Xenopus tropicalis: one gene and its partner. The protein of the gene in region 1 purifies or fractionates together with the protein of each later gene. This does not show direct contact. Links are inferred from orthologs where the notes say so. Each region holds a gene or a part of one and is shown on either strand. Other genes may lie near its edges. The genes, in order: kcnq1 and akap9.

The links.
Region 2: the proteins of kcnq1 (region 1) and akap9 purify together in Homo sapiens (affinity purification with western blotting; 3 studies listed by BioGRID and IntAct, with this or other methods). This does not show direct contact. The link is inferred for Xenopus tropicalis from reciprocal best matches to the Homo sapiens genes KCNQ1 and AKAP9.

What each region holds. Positions count from the first base shown.
Region 1 is NC_030680.2:25,059,252-25,068,559, forward strand, and holds part of kcnq1 (potassium voltage-gated channel subfamily KQT member 1), read left to right. Parts: intron 1-3,617; coding exon 3,618-3,758; intron 3,759-4,311; coding exon 4,312-4,422; intron 4,423-5,093; coding exon 5,094-5,189; intron 5,190-6,737; coding exon 6,738-6,860; intron 6,861-8,381; coding exon 8,382-8,520; intron 8,521-9,308. UniProt on the Homo sapiens protein: Pore-forming subunit of the voltage-gated potassium (Kv) channel involved in the regulation of cardiomyocyte excitability and important in normal development and functions of myocardium, inner ear, stomach and colon.
Region 2 is NC_030682.2:31,555,394-31,564,701, reverse strand, and holds part of akap9 (A-kinase anchor protein 9), read right to left. Parts: intron 8,168-9,308; coding exon 7,935-8,167; intron 7,356-7,934; coding exon 7,236-7,355; intron 5,029-7,235; coding exon 4,852-5,028; intron 4,123-4,851; coding exon 4,018-4,122; intron 3,448-4,017; coding exon 3,295-3,447; intron 2,488-3,294; coding exon 2,323-2,487; intron 1,971-2,322; coding exon 1-1,970. UniProt on the Homo sapiens protein: Scaffolding protein that assembles several protein kinases and phosphatases on the centrosome and Golgi apparatus. Required to maintain the integrity of the Golgi apparatus. Required for microtubule nucleation at the cis-side of the Golgi apparatus.

The DNA of each region.
Region 1 (9,308 bases):
GCTCAATGGCACTCTGCAGCTCCAACCCGGCCCAAGGAAAGCCTCCCATAGGGCTCAATGGCACTCTGCAGCTCCAACCCGGCCCAAGGAAAGTCTCCCATAGGGCTCAATGGCACTCTGCAGCTCCAACCCGGCCCAAGGAAAGTCTCCCATAGGGCTCAATGGCACTCTGCAGCTCCAACCCGGCCCAAGGAAAGTCTCCCATAGGGCTCAATGGCACTCTGCAGCTCCAACCCGGCCCAAGGAAAGTCTCCCATAGGACTCAATGGCACTCTGCAGCTCCAACCCGGCCCAAGGAAAGCCTCCCATAGGACTCAATGGCACTCTGCAGCTCCAACCCGGCCCAAGGAAAGCCTCCCATAGGGCTCAATGGCACTCTGCAGCTCCAACCTGGCCCAAGGAAAGCCTCCCATAGGACTCAATGGCACTCTGCAGCTCCAACCCGGCCCAAGGAAAGTCTCCCATAGGGCTCAATGGCACTCTGCAGCTCCAACCTGGCCCAAGGAAAGTCTCCCATAGGGCTCAATGGCACTCTGCAGCTCCAACCCGGCCCAAGGAAAGTCTCCCATAGGGCTCAATGGCACTCTGCAGCTCCAACCTGGCCCAAGGAAAGTCTCCCATAGGGCTCAATGGCACTCTGCAGCTCCAACCTGGCCCAAGGAAAGTCTCCCATAGGGCTCACTGGCACTCTGCAGCTCCAACCTGGCCCAAGGAAAGTCTCCCATAGGGCTCAATGGCACTCTGCAGCTCCAACCCGGCCCAAGGAAAGTCTCCCATAGGACTCAATGGCACTCTGCAGCTCCAACCTGGCCCAAGGAAAGCCTCCCATAGGGCTCAATGGCACTCTGCAGCTCCAACCCGGCCCAAGGAAAGTCTCCCATAGGGCTCAATGGCACTCTGCAGCTCCAACCCGGCCCAAGGAAAGTCTCCCATAGGGCTCACTGGCACTCTGCAGCTCCAACCTGGCCCAAGGAAAGTCTCCCATAGGGCTCAATGGCACTCTGCAGCTCCAACCCGGCCCAAGGAAAGTCTCCCATAGGGCTCAATGGCACTCTGCAGCTCCAACCCGGCCCAAGGAAAGTCTCCCACAGGGCTCAATGGCACTCTGCAGCTCCAACCTGGCCCAAGGAAAGTCTCCCATAGGGCTCAATGGCACTCTGCAGCTCCAACCCGGCCCAAGGAAAGTCTCCCATAGGGCTCAATGGCACTCTGCAGCTCCAACCTGGCCCAAGGAAAGTCTCCCATAGGGCTCAATGGCACCCTGCAGCTCCAACCTGGCCCAAGAAAAGTCACCATGCTGAAGCTTGAATGAATCCGAACACTACGAAAAAATCGCAACATTTTGTGCAACTTTCGGAATGGCTACGAAAAAGGCGCGATAATTTTCCGAAAAAATCGGCAAATACCGATCATTACGAAAAAAACGCAATCGGACGCATTCGGCCGGTTCGTGAGTAAGTAAATGGGCTCCATAGAGTGTCAGCTTTTTGTCCGAAAACATAGGAAATGGTGGGAGCGCTGCTCCCACATTTACTATATAAAATCTTGTAGATCCACAACACAACAGTATTTATCATTTATCTTTGTAAGTTAGAGGCCAGTTTCACTGAGGTTGTCATGATGCCTCTACTGACTCCAATGCACTTATAACTGGTTCACAGAAAGAAAAACTCAGAGGCTGCCTCTGGTACATATTGATCAGCCAATGACCTCTCAGATGTGCTGAGAAAGTTGAATAACCAGCATGATTTCTAGAATGGGGGTTCTGACCCATATTGGCCTTGCGTGCCAATACAGCGAGAGCTGTTAATCCAGAAGCTTGGTATAAGCAGTCTAACATACTTTATGAATTCATTAATTTTTCAAAAGTGCTCAGAGGAGCCCTAGGACATGTTAAGTCATTTTTAAGGTTTATGAGTTTTTGAACTAGGGTCTTAAAGGACATGTAAACCCCCCCACAAAAAATGTGATTAGTGAACAGCCTCTTTGCAATCTTTAAATACCCACCACTCCTGTTGTTAAAAGGTTAATAGTAAGGCTGCAGCATCCCCTTAATCACTTGGGATTCTTTCTCCTCCTCTAACCCGCTTGGGGCCCCTCCCTCAGGAATTAACTTTGGCTCCTGGCTAAATGAGCATGCTCAGTTCTTCTCAACTTAGGTTACTAAACACACCCTCCAGTCTAGCAGCCAATGAAGAGATGGCACCTCTGGTTTCCATAGAAACTGCTCTAGCTGTGCACTTTTTCTTCTAACTGAGCTCAGCTTAACCACTGCAGTGCTGAATCCGAGGAGAACATTTTATTAAAGTAAATTCTGCCTGTGTAAGCCTGCATTGTTCATTGCATGAACTTTACAGCACACATGTGCCGTTTGGTGAAAAATGGCCACCAGGTGAAAGCTGCTATGTGATGGTGCTGGCAACCAGAGGGGATGTATGCAATACAAGTGTTCTGGTTTAGGTGGGGGAGATGTGCCCAACTTATATACATAGTAGGAAAATGTAGGGTTTACATGTCCTTTAAATATGCAAGAGGCTGGGAAACCTGTCATAACTTCAACATTTTCTAAAAGGGCTTATTGTGTTATTACTATAACAATTTAGGGTTTTTACGGCATTTTATTTAGCCTTGGAGAAGAATTTGTTTTTATGTTTCTCCTTTCCTGGACAGGAAGATCCAATAAACTATGGCAGGAAGTGGAAATTTAGTGGGAATGTGCTCTACCAAGTTAACTCCATACCACTAGTGACATTATTTTACTAGTGTCATGGCTAACACTCTAATAGTGAGTGTGTATAATGTGTATTTCTATAGCACTCCCTTACCTCATGTTGCCAAGATTATTTATTAACATTGCACACAAACATCACTGATGATGTGGCCCATAGCAACCAATCAGATCTTTGCTTTTGTTTTCTAACTTGTAGATGACTGTTCAAATCCAATAGCGGATTGGTTGCTATGGGCAACATCACTGGTGATGTCTGTCCCCAGTGTTAATAAAGACACCCCTTTATCTCTATCGTGGAACGCTGTAACTGCATCACAATGCACTGATGGTTTTGACCGGTGCTTGTTCTATAATATGTGGCAGTCAAGAGCCATATGCAAGACCCCAAAAATCTTAATGATTGGAGATGGCACCTCCAGCGTCTCCAGAGCGGTAGCAACATTACACCAGGAAAGTGGTATATATTGATTTACCCAGCACACAGTTTTGGGGCTCCTCTGCACATTGTTTCACCAGCAATCCCCCCACCTCCCCCTAAATACGTATGCAATGGTCACAGGAAGGAGACTGGGGGGTGTTGTTGCCTACCTGGCTCCTTTCTTTCCTGGTCCACCCCCCCACAGTCATGGGATCTGCTGTACAGTAACGACACCAGTGCGCCAATGAAATGGCACAATTTAGAAGGGTTCTAGGGTTTCATGCAGATGGTGATAATGTTTGGAAGCACAAAACAAAGAATCATTCTCCACCTTTTTCGGACCTGATGCCAACAAGCCACTGACATTGTACCAGATGTCTCCATAAGAGGCACCAGATAATCAACTTTATGAATTTTGCACCAATCAGTGTATGCCATTTTATTCTCTCTCTCTCTTTTGGATTCCAGGAACTGATAACGACGTTGTACATTGGATTTCTGGGCTTGATCTTCTCATCCTATTTTGTTTATCTTGCCGAAAAAGATGCTATTGATAGTTCCGGTGAATACCAGTTTGGCAGTTATGCCGATGCACTTTGGTGGGGAGTGGTGAGTAGCCTGCTTACCTAATGAAGCCTAATCATATAGACATGGCGGCCGTAGGATCCTGCTGTATGGGAGCTGCCAATAAACTGAATTGTTAGGGGGCAAAAAATTTAAGTTTTGATATTCTCTATGGAGATATGCTCTATGGAGCCCAATAGAACATCAACCCTTATGGTTTAAAATGCATCTTTTGGTTTCAGTAGTGAAACCAAAACTGCACCACGGGTACATAGTAGCACAGCAGGGTTTGCACGTGCCATCTCAGTCCTGTTTGGGCCCTCTTCACTGTGATAGCCGCCACTTAGCACAGGCTGTTATAGCAAGGCCGAATCAGCTTCAATTGGTGCAAGTTGGCGCCCACCAACCCTGCTGTGCTTCCCTGCTTTTTGATAGCCTGGTAAAGCAATAGCTGCTTTTTTTTAGTCTTTGTGGTGTTCTTAGGGTGTTGTTCTCTATCTTTGGATATGATTGGTTACTATGTGTGCAATTTATTATATAAGCCCCACAGTTTTTACTGGTTTGCCTCCTGCATATTAACACCAGTTTCTTTTATTAGGTGACAGTTACAACTATTGGATATGGAGACAAAGTTCCTCAGACGTGGATTGGGAAAACCATTGCTTCCTGCTTCTCAGTCTTTGCCATTTCTTTCTTTGCCTTACCGGCGGTATGTACCTGTTCCTGGACATCCCCAGTTAGTATCTAGTCCTTATAGGAAATCAGCCCCTCAAATAGAAGGGAAAGCAGACGCACCCACGCTACTTAAACATTGCTCTTCTGATCCCTTCTGCAATTAGTGTTTTTCTCTTTTAGTTTTCATGATATCGGCTGTTTAACAATAGTAGGGGTAGTGTCCCCTCAGCAGTTCCCAAGACTGCAAAGCTGCTCCTATAGCAAAGAACAATAAAATCTGTTTATCCCCTTACAACCCTAGGTTGGTGCGGCCGTTGTGCTCTGCCAGAGCTCAGACATGAGAACAGCACAGCAGAGATTCAAGGCTAAAAATATATAAGGTCATGGTGTAGATGCCAAGCATATCTTTGATGATTAGGACTGTCGTAAATACAGAAGGGAAGCAGAGCGGAGAAGCAATTTCGAAATATCCATTTTCGACCATAAATACAAACAGCAGAGTAACTGAAAAACAATAGCGCCTTTGATAATATTTCTAGGAAAGTCACTTTGCATAGGTTTATCCAAAGGCTAGTGTAACTGGTGCTGAGCTGTATAGCTCCGTTTCTAATCCCTGTAGTTAGGAGAGTAATGGCTCTGTGTATATGCTTTCTTTTCCCTTTGCTAAGGCAACTCATTTCCATGTTTTTCCTGTTTTGTATATAGGGGATCCTTGGTTCTGGTTTTGCCTTAAAAGTGCAACAGAAACAGAGACAGAAGCACTTTAATCGTCAGATCCCAGCAGCCGCATCTCTCATTCAGGTAGAAATCATGTTTTCAGTGAAAAAATGAACTAGTGCAATTTTGGATGTAGTTCTATATGTTTTTTTTACCCAATATGCAGTATTTGTCACCCATAGAGAGGGGGAGTTGGTGTCTGAAGCATTTGCACCCAATGCCCTGCTGTACCTTCACATTGACACAAATTGCACGAGTCTGGATGGTATTATTTCCATCACTAAAAAGTGGCACATGTGCATTATTCTTTGGGGCAAATTTGCTGCATTATTCAGTAGCAATCTGGAATTACTGCCAGCTTGAAGGTGGCACTAGCTCTAGGGTACCCATGTCAAAAGGGAAACACACAGTGGGGTACAGGGGTTACTGCATTTTGGGGCCCCATGGCAGAGGGGGTCACCTTAGGGCAGTGATCCCAACCAGTGGCTCGGGGGCAACATGTTGCTCCCCAACCCCTTGGATGTTGCTCTCAGTGCCCCCAAACCAGGTAGTTATTTTTGAATTCCTGACTTGGGGCCAAGTTTTAGTTGAATAAAAACAAGATTTACCAAATAAAGCCAGGGGGCTGATAGGGTGCATAGAGGCTGTCTAATAGCCAATCACAGCCCTTATTTGGCACCTCCATGAACTTTTATGGTGCTTGTGTTGCTCTCCAAGTCTATTTACATTTGACTGTGGCTCACGAGTAAGAAAGGTTGGGGACCCCTGCCTTAGGGCTCAAAGCTTGTCCCAGGACCACCAATTATGCCTTATGCCGCCAGTCGCTGCACAGGTTCTAAAACAGAGGAATTATTTGGGTAGATATGGTGTAATATCTATGAAACAAATTAAGAGTTTCCATAAGGCACAATATAATTCCCTTCCTCTACCATTTCTTTGTGTTTAGGGCTTTCCCCAGACCTTTCTCTCATTTCTTTATATAGTGAAGCTTTCCTCCACTCTGCAGCTCAAGTTGGAGTAAATAATTTATATTGTTCTTTTATTAAAGTGGATCTGTTTTGTAAATAGTTTCCAGGCATGTGTAGGTGATCTATCTGTTGCCAGTAGCTGGTGGCTGGATTATGCTAACTGCATAGCCTGCTAATGTTCTCCTTGAGGGATATTATATTTCTGGGTAAGCTTGTTGCCTTGCATTAGCTTAACCAGCATCCATCATTTGAGAGGGGGAATCATCATTGATGGTTGGGTTGCAAATTGTGTTTGGTTCTGACACTTGTCCAAAGGCTTTGTAGGGACATTGGCGCCAGTATTTATGTCTATACCCACCCACAAAGTGGGACTTGAAAACATCTTGCTGTCCTGAAGTACTGGACCAAATCTGGATGGGCAGGGTCCCAATATAATATAAGATCACAGATAATGTGACCATTTTTATACAATTAATTTTCCCTTTTCAGGAGACTTTCCTTCATTCCCATTTCTACAGTTTTTTGTTAATCGCTTCATGTAAAGGGAGGTCATTTTATTTCTCTCTCCTTCTTGTCATCAGGAGGCATCATGGGAACAATGTCCATTCTGTAATCAAACAGCTGTATTAGTGGCTTTCCGGTAATTTTATGTCCTGTGTTTCAGACAGCGTGGCGGTGCTACGCAGCGGAAAATCCTGATTCGGCAACATGGAAAATCTACATTCGGAAACAGTCGCGAAATCATCATATTTTGTCGCCCAGCCCGAAGCCCAAGAAATCCGCCATGGTACTGGTATAAATAGTTCTTATCTTGTTTCTGTCTGTTAAGGTGGCCATACACGGACCGATTTTTTACTTACAAACGACCGATTCCCGAACGATCCGATGCTATCGTTAAGTTATCGTATAGTTGGTGGTGTACGAACGATCGTCGGCCCACTAAACGAGCCGACATTATCGTCCCCAAAATCGATCGGCCAGGTTTAAAAATTTTGGTCGTTTAACGATAAAATCTGCCAGTTGGTGTGAGTGTCAGACATTTGTCTTTCAACGATTGTTCTCTGCGCATGTCACGATTGCCAGCAACGACATCGATCGTACGTAGATGTACGATCGTAGGTATCTTACGATAATGATGCGACAAAATCTTTCCCGAATTATCGTTGCCCGTGGATGGCATATCGTATGGGAACTCGATCGCCATACGATCGTTTGTCGATATAATCGTTCATCGCACAACGAGCGAAATCGCCTCGTGTATGGCCACCTTTAGTCTGTCTAGTAATTGCTTGGCTCCAGGCTGGGGAGTGCCAGACAAGTAATAGAGAGCCCTGCACTTGTATTTATGGTAGGGACCTTGGGCCTCACAACCCTTGCTTCTTGCACCTAATTATTATCCGTGCATGGCACAGAGGGCAGATGGCACCCACCCATGGGTGGAATTGAACATACCTGTACTTCAGAAAATGAGCTGGTACAGGTATTGTTATCCAGAATTCTCGGGACCAAGGGTATTCCAGATAAGGGGTATTTCCGTAATTTGGATCTCCATACCTTAAGTCTACTAAAAAAAATCAATAAAACATTAATTAAACCCAATAGGATTGTTTTGCATCCAATAAGGATTAATTATATCTTAGTTGGGATCAAGTACAGGTACTGTTTTATTATTACAGAGAAAAGGGAATCATTTAACCATTAAATAAACCCAATAGGGCTGTTCTGCCCCAATAAGGGGTAATTATATCTTAGTTGGGATCAAGTACAGGTACTGTTTTATTATTACAGAGAAAAGGGAATCATTTAACCATTAAATAAACCCAATAGGGCTGTTCTGCCCCAATAAGGGGTAATTATATCTTAGTTGGGATCAAGTACAGGTACTGTTTTATTATTACAGAGAAAAGGGAATCATTTAACCATTAAATAAACCCAATAGGGCTGTTCTGCCCCAATAAGGGGTAATTATATCTTAGTTGGGATCAAGTACAAGGTACTGTTTTATTATTACAGAGAAAAGGGAATCATTTAACCATTAAATAAACCCAATAGGACTGTTCTGCCCCCAATAAGGGGTAATTATATCTTAGTTGGGATCAGTTACAAGGTACTGTTTTATTATTACAGAGAAAAAAGAAAGCAGTTTTTAAATTCTGAATTATTTGATTAAAATGGAGTCTATGGGAGACTGGCTTTCCGTAATTCGGAGCTTTCTAGATAACGGATTTCCAGATAAGGGATCCCATACCTGTATATATATAATCTAGTATGGGTGCTATCTATGATGTCTTTTTGTCATCAATTCTAGGTTAAAAAGAAAAAAATTCGTACAGATAGAGAGGAAGGCTCTACAGACAAAATGCTAAACATTCCGAATATTACCTACGATCACGTAGCCGACGATAGAAAGAATGATGGGTATTCAGTGGAGGCATATGAGAATACAGGTAAGTAATTGGCTGCTATTGGGTGGGTTTCCCTTGGGTACTCCGGTTCCCTCCCATACTACAGAACCATACAGACCCTAGTGTATGTAAATGTGACCTTAGATTGTAAGCTCCATGGTCGAGGGACTAATATGATCATGTATAATAATAATCTATGATTTGTCCATTACAAGTTCCAACAAAATGGACAAATGTTTATCCAGCTGTGTTTCACATCCACATTTGTGGGCATTGCATTGTGTCAAGAAGCATGAGATGGTTAGCTGCATCCCATGGGAGACACTTTTACTGGAAAATAGTAGAAACTGTCATCTCATTGGAGAACAGAACGATTTAAAGGGGAAAAGGATGCAGAGGAAATGATACATTTTTTTTTGTTATGCATCAAGCAGGGTGTGACTCTTCCTTTCTGACACATGAAGGCTATAATAGGCTCTCTAGGTGTAGATGTAGCTCAGGAAATGCTAATTCTGTTGGTATGTTTTTATATTGCCTCAGACCAACAAGGCTGTGTTGATGGACATCACTGTGACATACATATAGGATGGCTGCCAGTGAATCTGTATTGGGAGCCATAGGTGGAGATAGACATGATGGAAAATAAGCACTAGGATATCGTTAATGACCAGTTGACATTACTACTTTGGCTACCAGATGATGCTGGAATTCTGCGTATTCCAAAATATTATCCGAGGGCTACGTTTTGTCAGGGACCGATTCGTAAGCATAATTAGACTTTTTCCCAACTCTCCAAGGACACTTCAGAGGATCCACCAATGAGAACCCTT
Region 2 (9,308 bases), on another chromosome or scaffold:
GATGTTTTTTCTTTAAGCTTTTCATCACTTCTACTGTTACTGCAGTCTAAAAGTTGCTGCAGTTCTGTGAGTTTCTGTTCTTTTTCGGCAACCTGATGATTTGCAGCGATGGCACGCTCTCGTTCCACCTGCAGTTCTTCGTGTAGGTCTGATAACTGCTTCTCTAGCTGTAAAAGCCTTAATGATAGAGCAGATAAGTTGGACTCTGCTACTTCTTCTTCATGAGATTTTGAAGTCTGAGTTCCTTTGGACTCTTCTTGCAGAATGTAAGAATCCTCAGTCTTCTGCATGAGCTGGATAGCTTTCACTTGAGCTTCACTCACCAAAGCTGCAGCCACCTTTTCCCTTAGTGTGTTTTCCATAGCTAACATGACTTCATCATGGCGATTTCGTTCAGTCTTTACTTGCTCCTCAAGCAACTCAATTTCATTTGAACACTGTAGAAGTTCTAAGTCTTTTCTGTCAAAATCTATCTGAAGTCCTTGTAACTGGGACTCCATGTTTTTCATGGCTCTCTGCATGGCCTCTTCTGCAGAAGCAGACAAAGCTTGATTTTCCAGAGGTTGAACAGCCTTTTCACTTAATGCCTCCTCACTCTTAAAAAGAGATGCTTGCAGTCTGTCCAACTCACCTCTCAAGTGTTTAATCTCTTCCTTTGCATTCTCTAATTCTATCTTTACAAAGGCGGTCTCCTCCCCATTTAATTCTGCTGTTTGCAAAATTCTGTTTTCCTTTTGCATCTTATCTGTTACAAGGTCTTTGGCTCTTTCCACCTTCTCTGGTGACTTAATTTGTTTTGCTTTAGAAAGTTTTTGATGAAGACTTTCAATTACCCCATTCAGCTGTTCAAGCTCTACTGCTTGCTTTTCTAAAAGTTGCTTTTGAACTGCATATTGTAAAAGTTCTGAATCCTTTTCTTCAACAATCTTCTGCAAATTCTGTACTTGAGACTCTAAGTTCTGTATAGTGCTTTGCACAGTATCCTGCACAGAACTGAGCAGAGCCTGACTTGCCAAGAGTTCAGCAGTCTTTTCTCTTAATGCATTCTCAAGTTTCTTAATATCATACTTAGCTTTACCTTCCCATTTTGCATTTGCGTTTTCTGGAGACTGTTTAAGTTTTTCTAACTCTTCTTTCAGTGATTTCAATTCTGCTTGCGTTTCCTCCAGCTCAGTGTTTAGTAGCTCGTGTTTACTACTAGCACTTTCACTACTTAAAGACATTTCTTCGGCCAATGTGGTTTTATTTTGGCATTCTGAAATATCAGAGACTTCTATGCTATTAAAGACTGAATCTGCAGCAGTACTTTCTTCCTGAAGTTTTCTTATCACTTGATTTAGTTGATCTATGACTTGGCTCTGTTCTTCTACTAGCTTAACTTTATCATAATATTGCAGCAGCTCTATGTCCTTTTCTTTTATAGTTTGCTTAAGTTCCTGCAGCTTTGACTCCAAGCCATGAATAGTATCCTGCATAGCCTCATGCTGAACATAAAGTAGAGAATTTTCTAAAGGCTCTGATGTGGCTTCTGCCTCTTCCTCCTTATCATTTCTGAATTCCAATGTAACATTATTACATTCTTCATATACTTGTTTACTAGCTATTTGGCCTTCTCTCACACTTTTTAATTCTGTTTTTAGCAGCTCTATTTCAGTTCTGGTTTCCTCAAGTGCAGTTCTTGTAATGGCCAGTTCTGTATCACTGAGCTCCACCTTCTTCTGTAGCAAATCTTTTTCTGCCATAATGGTTTCCAGCTGGTGCTTACTACTATCTGCATCTTCTGTCATGCTGGTAACGTCCACTGACACTTTGTTGTCTATACTTGCTAATTCATCTTGAAGTTTCTCAATGACTTCATTAAGTTTTTCTATCTCTTCTTCACTGTTCCTCTTAAGACGTTCTTGGTCACTTTTTAAGCATTTTATTTGGCTCTTATATTCTTTAATTTGATTATTTTTATCTTCGATAGTCTGTAAAACATACAAAAATGAAGCAATTTAAAACAAGAAAAGGAAATACCTGTAATAATACATTCAGTGAATAGCCTTACAGCGCTGCGGAATATGTTGGCGCTTTATAAATAAATGTTAATAATAAATAAATAGCCCTCATGTAAAGATTTAAGGTGACTATGAGGTAACTATGACTAACAACTAGAACATTTCTGTTTTTTTTTTTATTAATATATATGAGGATCTTCCTCTAAATCAGAGTGCCCCCAGTACTACGGTATGTGCATTTACAGTCTCCAATACATGTTTTTTTTATATATTTCCATGGAAAATGTATGTAAACTCATCTAAAAAAAAGAAACAAATTTACTTTGTTATCTGTTGCGGTCTCAAGTTGTGCCTGCAGCCTCCCCACATGCTCATTCAGCTGATCAATTTCTTGTTCTTTCAAAAACAGAATGTCTTCAAACTCTTCTGGTTTCATGTGATGGGTCTTTATAGCAGAGCTTTGATTATCATGATCTACATTTTCATCCTTCAACAAATGCAAACAACAATTAGCATTTTAGATAAGTGCAGTAAATTTTGGGTATCATCTTTTCAACTAAGAAATATACCTTAATATTTTAAATTACCATTCAGATTTTCAGTGCAGAAAAAAAACTAATAAGGCTTAAGCCAATATAGCCCAAGTCCTTTCCTGATTCCAATAAGGCTATTATATTTATGCATTAAGAATTTTAACAACTGAGTGGTTGAAACCTCATCTGGAAATGTCTCACAATTATGCAGCACATCAGCCATTTCTAGCTCCAAAGACAAGGAATTCCATTATTGGAACATACTTATTTGCCTCTACATTTGTGAGTGACAACCCAAAGTGCAGTGTTTTAGTAATACAGAGTTACTCTGATTGAAGCAATGAAGTGATAGGTGACAAGGATCTCTCAAACACCATTGCCCAGAGCAAACAATTTTTTTTGTGTGTAATATATACAGCCTTAGACATATGGTGGTGAAACTCAAAAGTCTCTTAAGCTTTACATTAAGACACAAGCCCAGCACTAACAGAGTTGGCAGCACCACGTATGGCACACTGTTCCCGATTAGGTGCCACATTTGGTTACTTGCTAACAAAGGGCTGGACCATGGAGGGATATTGAGAGCTACTGCCTATTTAATGAAAGTCAAATTATCTCAATAAATATTTCTGTTATTCTGTTAGTTATAGCTGTTGTTGTGAGTGATATTGTGTACAGAAGAGGTTCTTTTTAAAACTGTAGCCTCTTGCAGGGCAGTACAAAGAACATAGACGAATACTGTTGTTGTCCTTTTTGTTCACCTTGAGCACTTTATTTTCCTGTTCCAGCTCCAGTAACCGGGTAGAAGATTCTTTTCTCTGAATTTCTAGCTGCATATGGAGCTGCTGTACTTCTTCATTCTTGTTTTCCAGTTCTTCTCGGAACTGTTCCAGCTGTTCTTCTAGGTTTGTGATCTGTGAGACAAGCACATGGAAAGTTGTATGTAAGAATGCAAGAACAAAAGGCAAACATTATTTATAATGGGATACAAAGGAAGGGTTTGTCCAGATCCGAAAGCTGTCGGTTTCATTTATTTTGGGAGGACAAGCAAAAATCCTACCACTCACATAATAAGTTTGTAATATCTGGCACTGTTTCACTGCACCCTGTGTACATTTTTCTGCAGCAGAGAAATTTTGACACCTCTCAAAAGGTGAAAAAAGCCCTTCTCAACATTTGCATTCTAGCAATCATAGGATCAATCAATATTTCCAAATGTTTCGATTCAGTATCTATTGTAGCAATAGGTCATAAAGCATTTTTGAAAAGACTTAATTTGAAGGTACTGCCATATAGAAAAGTCAGTCAACCTGTGTGGCTAATTTATCATCCTGTTCTATTGGTTGGTAGCAACCATCGCTACTTTCACTTTCCAAATCCTTGCTCCCTAATGCAAATTGCATGTAGGAAAAAAATTGTAGACAATTAAGATAAACTATTAATAAAAAGGTCTCAATGTCTTTTTTAATTAAGGGAATTCGCACCTCTTTTTCTTTTCGATCTATTGCGTCACGCTCCACTTGGAGTTGTGCTTCTAGAGGTATTTCTCCTTTGGAACTAATGACGATGGACTGTCTTCTGAGCTCCACCTTCAAGAAAATGTACATATTACTTAGACTTGTTTATTTAGTATTTAACTTTTCATCCCTCGTCCATCCCTAAATCAGCACACAAAAATCACATCAAAAAGCATTACAGATAGTTTGTGTAACCTATTCTGGTATTTGCCAGAATCAACAGATTGCCAGTCCATTTCTGAATTTATTTATTTATCTACAGAGAGTGAGTAACAACATTTAGGGGGTGGGGTAATCCTATTCTATTCCTAAAAACACACACACCCGTTACATGAATCTTCACTGGTGCTGTGCCTAAAGGTGGCCATACATGTACATGTTAAAGTTCAGGGCTAAATTGTCAGACATGGAGGTAGAAGTAGGGATTCTACCTTCACCTGCCGATTCAGCCCTAAACGCAGACTTTGCTCGGCCGCCTTTTTAACTCAGCCGATCGTCGAGACGACCGATATTTGCAGCCTTTGCAATACAGGTCGGCTCATCGATCCACTATACACACACACCGAATATCGTACTAAACAAGGTTTCATACGATAATATCAGTTAGTTTATGGCAAGTTTTGCGCCTCCATTTGTAAAGCTAATGCTTACTTAACAAATATTGGATCCAAGCACCACAGACACAAGATACAACAAGATAATTGGGTGTGGAGGATCCTTTTTCATTTTGCGTGTGTATGCACCTATCTAGCCATTATCACATATTAAGGTAGGGAGAAGGTCACAAGTAAATTAACTCACCTTCTTAAGGGTATCATCACTGATGAGCAAGGCCTGCTCCAGTTCCCTGATCCGACACTCCAGCTTCTCAATCTCTTCATTCCTTTCTTGAATATCCCGCTGGAACTGTTCTTTGCAGAGCAGCAGTTCATTGCATTTGTCTGTCTTTTCCTTTAGGTTAGTTTCCAGTTTTTCAAGCTTTTTTTAAAAAAATTTAAAAAAAAAAATCAACCAAAAATACCTCTTAAATTGTACATTCGTACATTGGTGGATGCATCTATTTGTATAATTAAACGTGTGAGTTATGGCACAATGTACACAGATCCAAAGGAATACTTTAATATTTAATGGGGCGATTCACTTAGTATATTATAGAATGTCCTATTCCTAGCAACTTTGCAATTGGTCATCATTTATTTTTATAGTTTTATTTTTTTAATTATTTACCTTCCTTTTCTGCCTTTTTTTAGCTTTCAGAGGGGGGTCACTGACAGCAGCAGACTTAAAACTATTGTTCTCTGAGGCTAAAATTCTATCGTTATTGTTACTTTTACTGCTTATCTTTGTACTCAGTCCTTTAACTATTCATATTCCATCTCTCATTCAAATTACTGGCTGGTTTCTTGGGTAATTAAGACATTAGCAACCAGATAGCTGCCGAAATACCAAACTGAAGAGCTGCTGAACAAAAAGCTAAATAACTGAAAAACCACAAAAAAAGAAGGCCTATTGCAAACATTATAAAAATGCACAATAAGGGAAACAAAGGAGCACTGGATCAACAGGTGCTATCGGATAAATACATAAAAACAGAGGTGGGTGTGTCAAAGTGACCTTTCTTATATTTCTTGACAAATTAATTTGTATTTTCCCAGCTTCTTCTATAGGTACAGATGATTCAGATATTTTCACTGGGAACATGATTATAGGCACAGGACCCAATGTACTACTGCAGTGCTGTCCAACTTCTACGGTGCCGAGGGCCGGAATTTCTCTAGCATACATGGTGGAGGGCCGCTAATGGAAGCCAGTTTTGACCACTCCCCTTTTTGAAACCACACCCACTTCAAACCACACCTATTTTATCACAATGGTGGTAACACAGCAAAATCCCAAATGCTTGGTCCTTACTGTGGGGATATCAACCATCATTCATATGTGAAAGAATTATGTCATATTAAGATATACCCTTAAATTCCATATGCCTCCTCCTCCCCTGTGGATAGCAGAGCAACCCCCAGTACATAATTACACACCTTAGGGACCATTTAATGGCTATTTCCAACTGCTAACAAACTCCCACAACAAACCCCTGCCAGGTTCACCTCCCACAAGCAGCATAGAGCAAGCAGAGTATGGCACACACAGGCAGCACTCTGCCTGTCCTACGCTGTCTGTGTGTGCCATACTCTGCCTGTCCTACCCTGCCTATGTGTGCCATACTCTGCCTTCTCTATGCTGCCTCTGTGTACCATACTCTGTCTGCCCTACCCTGACTGTGTGTGCCATACTCTGCCTGCCCTACCCTTCCTATGTGTGCCATACCCTCCCTGACCTATGCTGCCTGTGTGTGCCATACTCTACCTGCCCTATGCTGGCTGTATGTGCCATACTCTGCCTACAGTACCTATGTCTGAGGTGTGAAGAAGTGAACAATGGGAGTGATTACAGCCTGAGCCTGAGGTGTGAACACTGCAGGGGGTGAACCATGCAGGTATTAAAAGGTGTGAAAAACACAGGGGATTACATTTTTAAACAATACAGGGGGATTACAGCCTGAATCTGAGGTGAAAACCATGCAGGGGGCCAGTTAATCTCAGTACTGTTACCATTTAATGCTTACTCAAAGGTAAGCCATCAAAGCAGCCAGACAGGTGGGGGGCCACACAGAGGGGGGTCGCGGGCCGCATGCGGCCCGCGGGCCGCCAGTTGGACAGCACTGTACTACTGTATCAAGCACACTGCCAGCTGTTACTGTACAAAACGTGGTAAGCTTGATGGTATTTTCCAGCTGCCTCTGACTTGACACTGGACAGACTGATGTTCAATAAAAAGAACTAGTCTTTAAAAAAAGCTAATTATACAGGTATGGGATCTTTTATCCAAATTATAGGAAGGCTGTCTCCCACAGACTTCATAAGGTATGGAGATACAAATTATGTAAAGATCCTTATCTGGAAAACCCCAAGTCCTGAGCATTCTAGATAACAGGCCCTATACCTGTACAACAGAGCAAAGCACCTTTAATCTGCAGCAGTAAATAAAAACAAGAACCGCAGGAATACCACTGACCTAATGTAACGTAAGACTTATTTATGGTACACTGGGGAAAAATAAGGTAAAACCATATTCACAGGTAGATTTGCCTTCTTTTATACATGAACTGTGAATTCTTTTGTTTTTACCGCATTGCTTTGATGATCTGTAACAGGCTGGTGCCTTTGAGGCATTTTAAGTTGCTGCTCAAGTTTCAGGATTTCCTGCTGAAAAACATCTCTTTCATGCTCTCGATCCACTGCCTGCTCCTGGAACAGAAAATTCATAACAGCACTGTAAGAGCCGCAGGAATGGTACCACTGGAGGCACATTCTATCACCAATGTAAGGGCCATCGCCTCATGGCCATCCCACATTTTGACAACTGTGTGGCCAACAGAAAGCACAAACAATCAACAAACAGGACTAAAAAATTGTGTGGACATGGCAAATGCAAATTTTCAGTCACTGTAATTTACAAATGCAGCTGCAAGTGCGGTTGCACAAAAATTGACACATTCATTACTTGCTCCTTGCATTGCTATGTCTTTCCTGACACTTCAACTGAATCTTGTGAAATTGTGGCTATGGACGCTAAGGAGACCGGACCTGCCATCCTGAACATAAAGGAAATTCCGGCTTGCAAATACTCACAGAAAAACAGAATTTGTTGTGGTGCAGCTGCAATTACTCTGGAATCATTCTGCATTGTGGGTAAAAAAATGGTGCTGTGTGTACGAAAACTGCCTTTGCACACTGCACTGTGTTCATCAATGACCCCTATTGTTGGAAAGTGTTAACACTTTTAACCAGTATGCTATGTTGATTTAGCCCCTCTTTATAACTTACATCTAAAAATTTGCGGGTCTTTTCAAGCTGTTTTTCCAAGGACAGATTCTTTTGTTGGAGGTCTTCTAGATCTGAATTCTTTTCTTGCTCTATTTCCAGGTTCCGGCTCATCTGTTCTTCCAGTTCTGTTTCCAGCACTTTGACCTGTTTGTAAAGGTCCCCTGAGTCCTTTTCTGCTTGACGTTGCACCTCTATCTTCTCCTTTAGCAGTTTCTCAGTTTCCTCTATCAACTCTGTTTATACAAAAGGTCCCCAGAAAGAAGTTAGCTGGATTGCTTTGGTGTTGCCTTTCCAAGCCATCATAAATGCCCCACTGGAAAGCTCTCATCAGGCTAAGGAAATATATTGGATTTGATTGATATATCAGAACTTTATGTGTATTGCAGGAAAGGTCTCTGTGATAATATTTGAACACAGACTTTGTTTTATGCAGTGTTCTGTTTTGCATGAAAGGTTACAAATACTATCACTGCTTTATAAAGCACCAACATATACCTAAAGTAGAAAATTAACAGCGCTAATTATTTAAACTGGCCTTTTGCTAGTACTTATATACCGCATCACTAGTTAGAAAAGCTTACCCAAGACCTTATATAAAAGGTTTACCACTACAGCTTCTACCACTAGTTATGCAGCTATGTGATATCTTATAAGATTATATAAAATTACTTGAAGGAGTTGTAACACTTTTAAATGAGTAAAGGTGGCCATACAAGAGCCAATAAAAGATGCCGGCAGGTGCCTTCCTGACTGAATTCTGGCCAAAAATCAAATCCCATCAGGATGAGGAACACCATTTGCTTGTTGGTGAAGTATTTGCCCCGACGGCCTACATCGGGCTAAACATGCATATCAATCCGATATCAAGGTGGGCATATCAGGGAAAAAATCCGCTCATTTGGCAACCATGCTAAACACGTGGATCTTTCACTGTACAGCCAGCTTTACTTTGGGGAGCTAATTTGTTCACAAGATACTGCTTTCCATATCTTACTGCATTATCTGCAGCACAAATATACTCTATGGCTGAATACAATAGGTTTCCAGCACACGTGGGAAGTTTATCAGAGGGGTGCATGCAGCATCATATGTTCACCTCCACATACCTTTAGACCTCAATATATCGAAATTGCAACACTCCCATTTCATAAGCATAAAACGCCTTTATTTTACATATGGCACAGACACAGCAACGTTTTGGACCTCCTGGTCCTTTCTCAAGCTAACAAAACGAAAAAGAAAAAAGCTTGAGAAAGGACCGGGAGGTCCAAAACGTTGCTGTGTCTGTGCCATATGTAAAATAAAGGCGGTTTTACGAATATAAATAGGGGGTTTTGCAATTTCGATATATACTCTATGGCTACCCTATGGGAA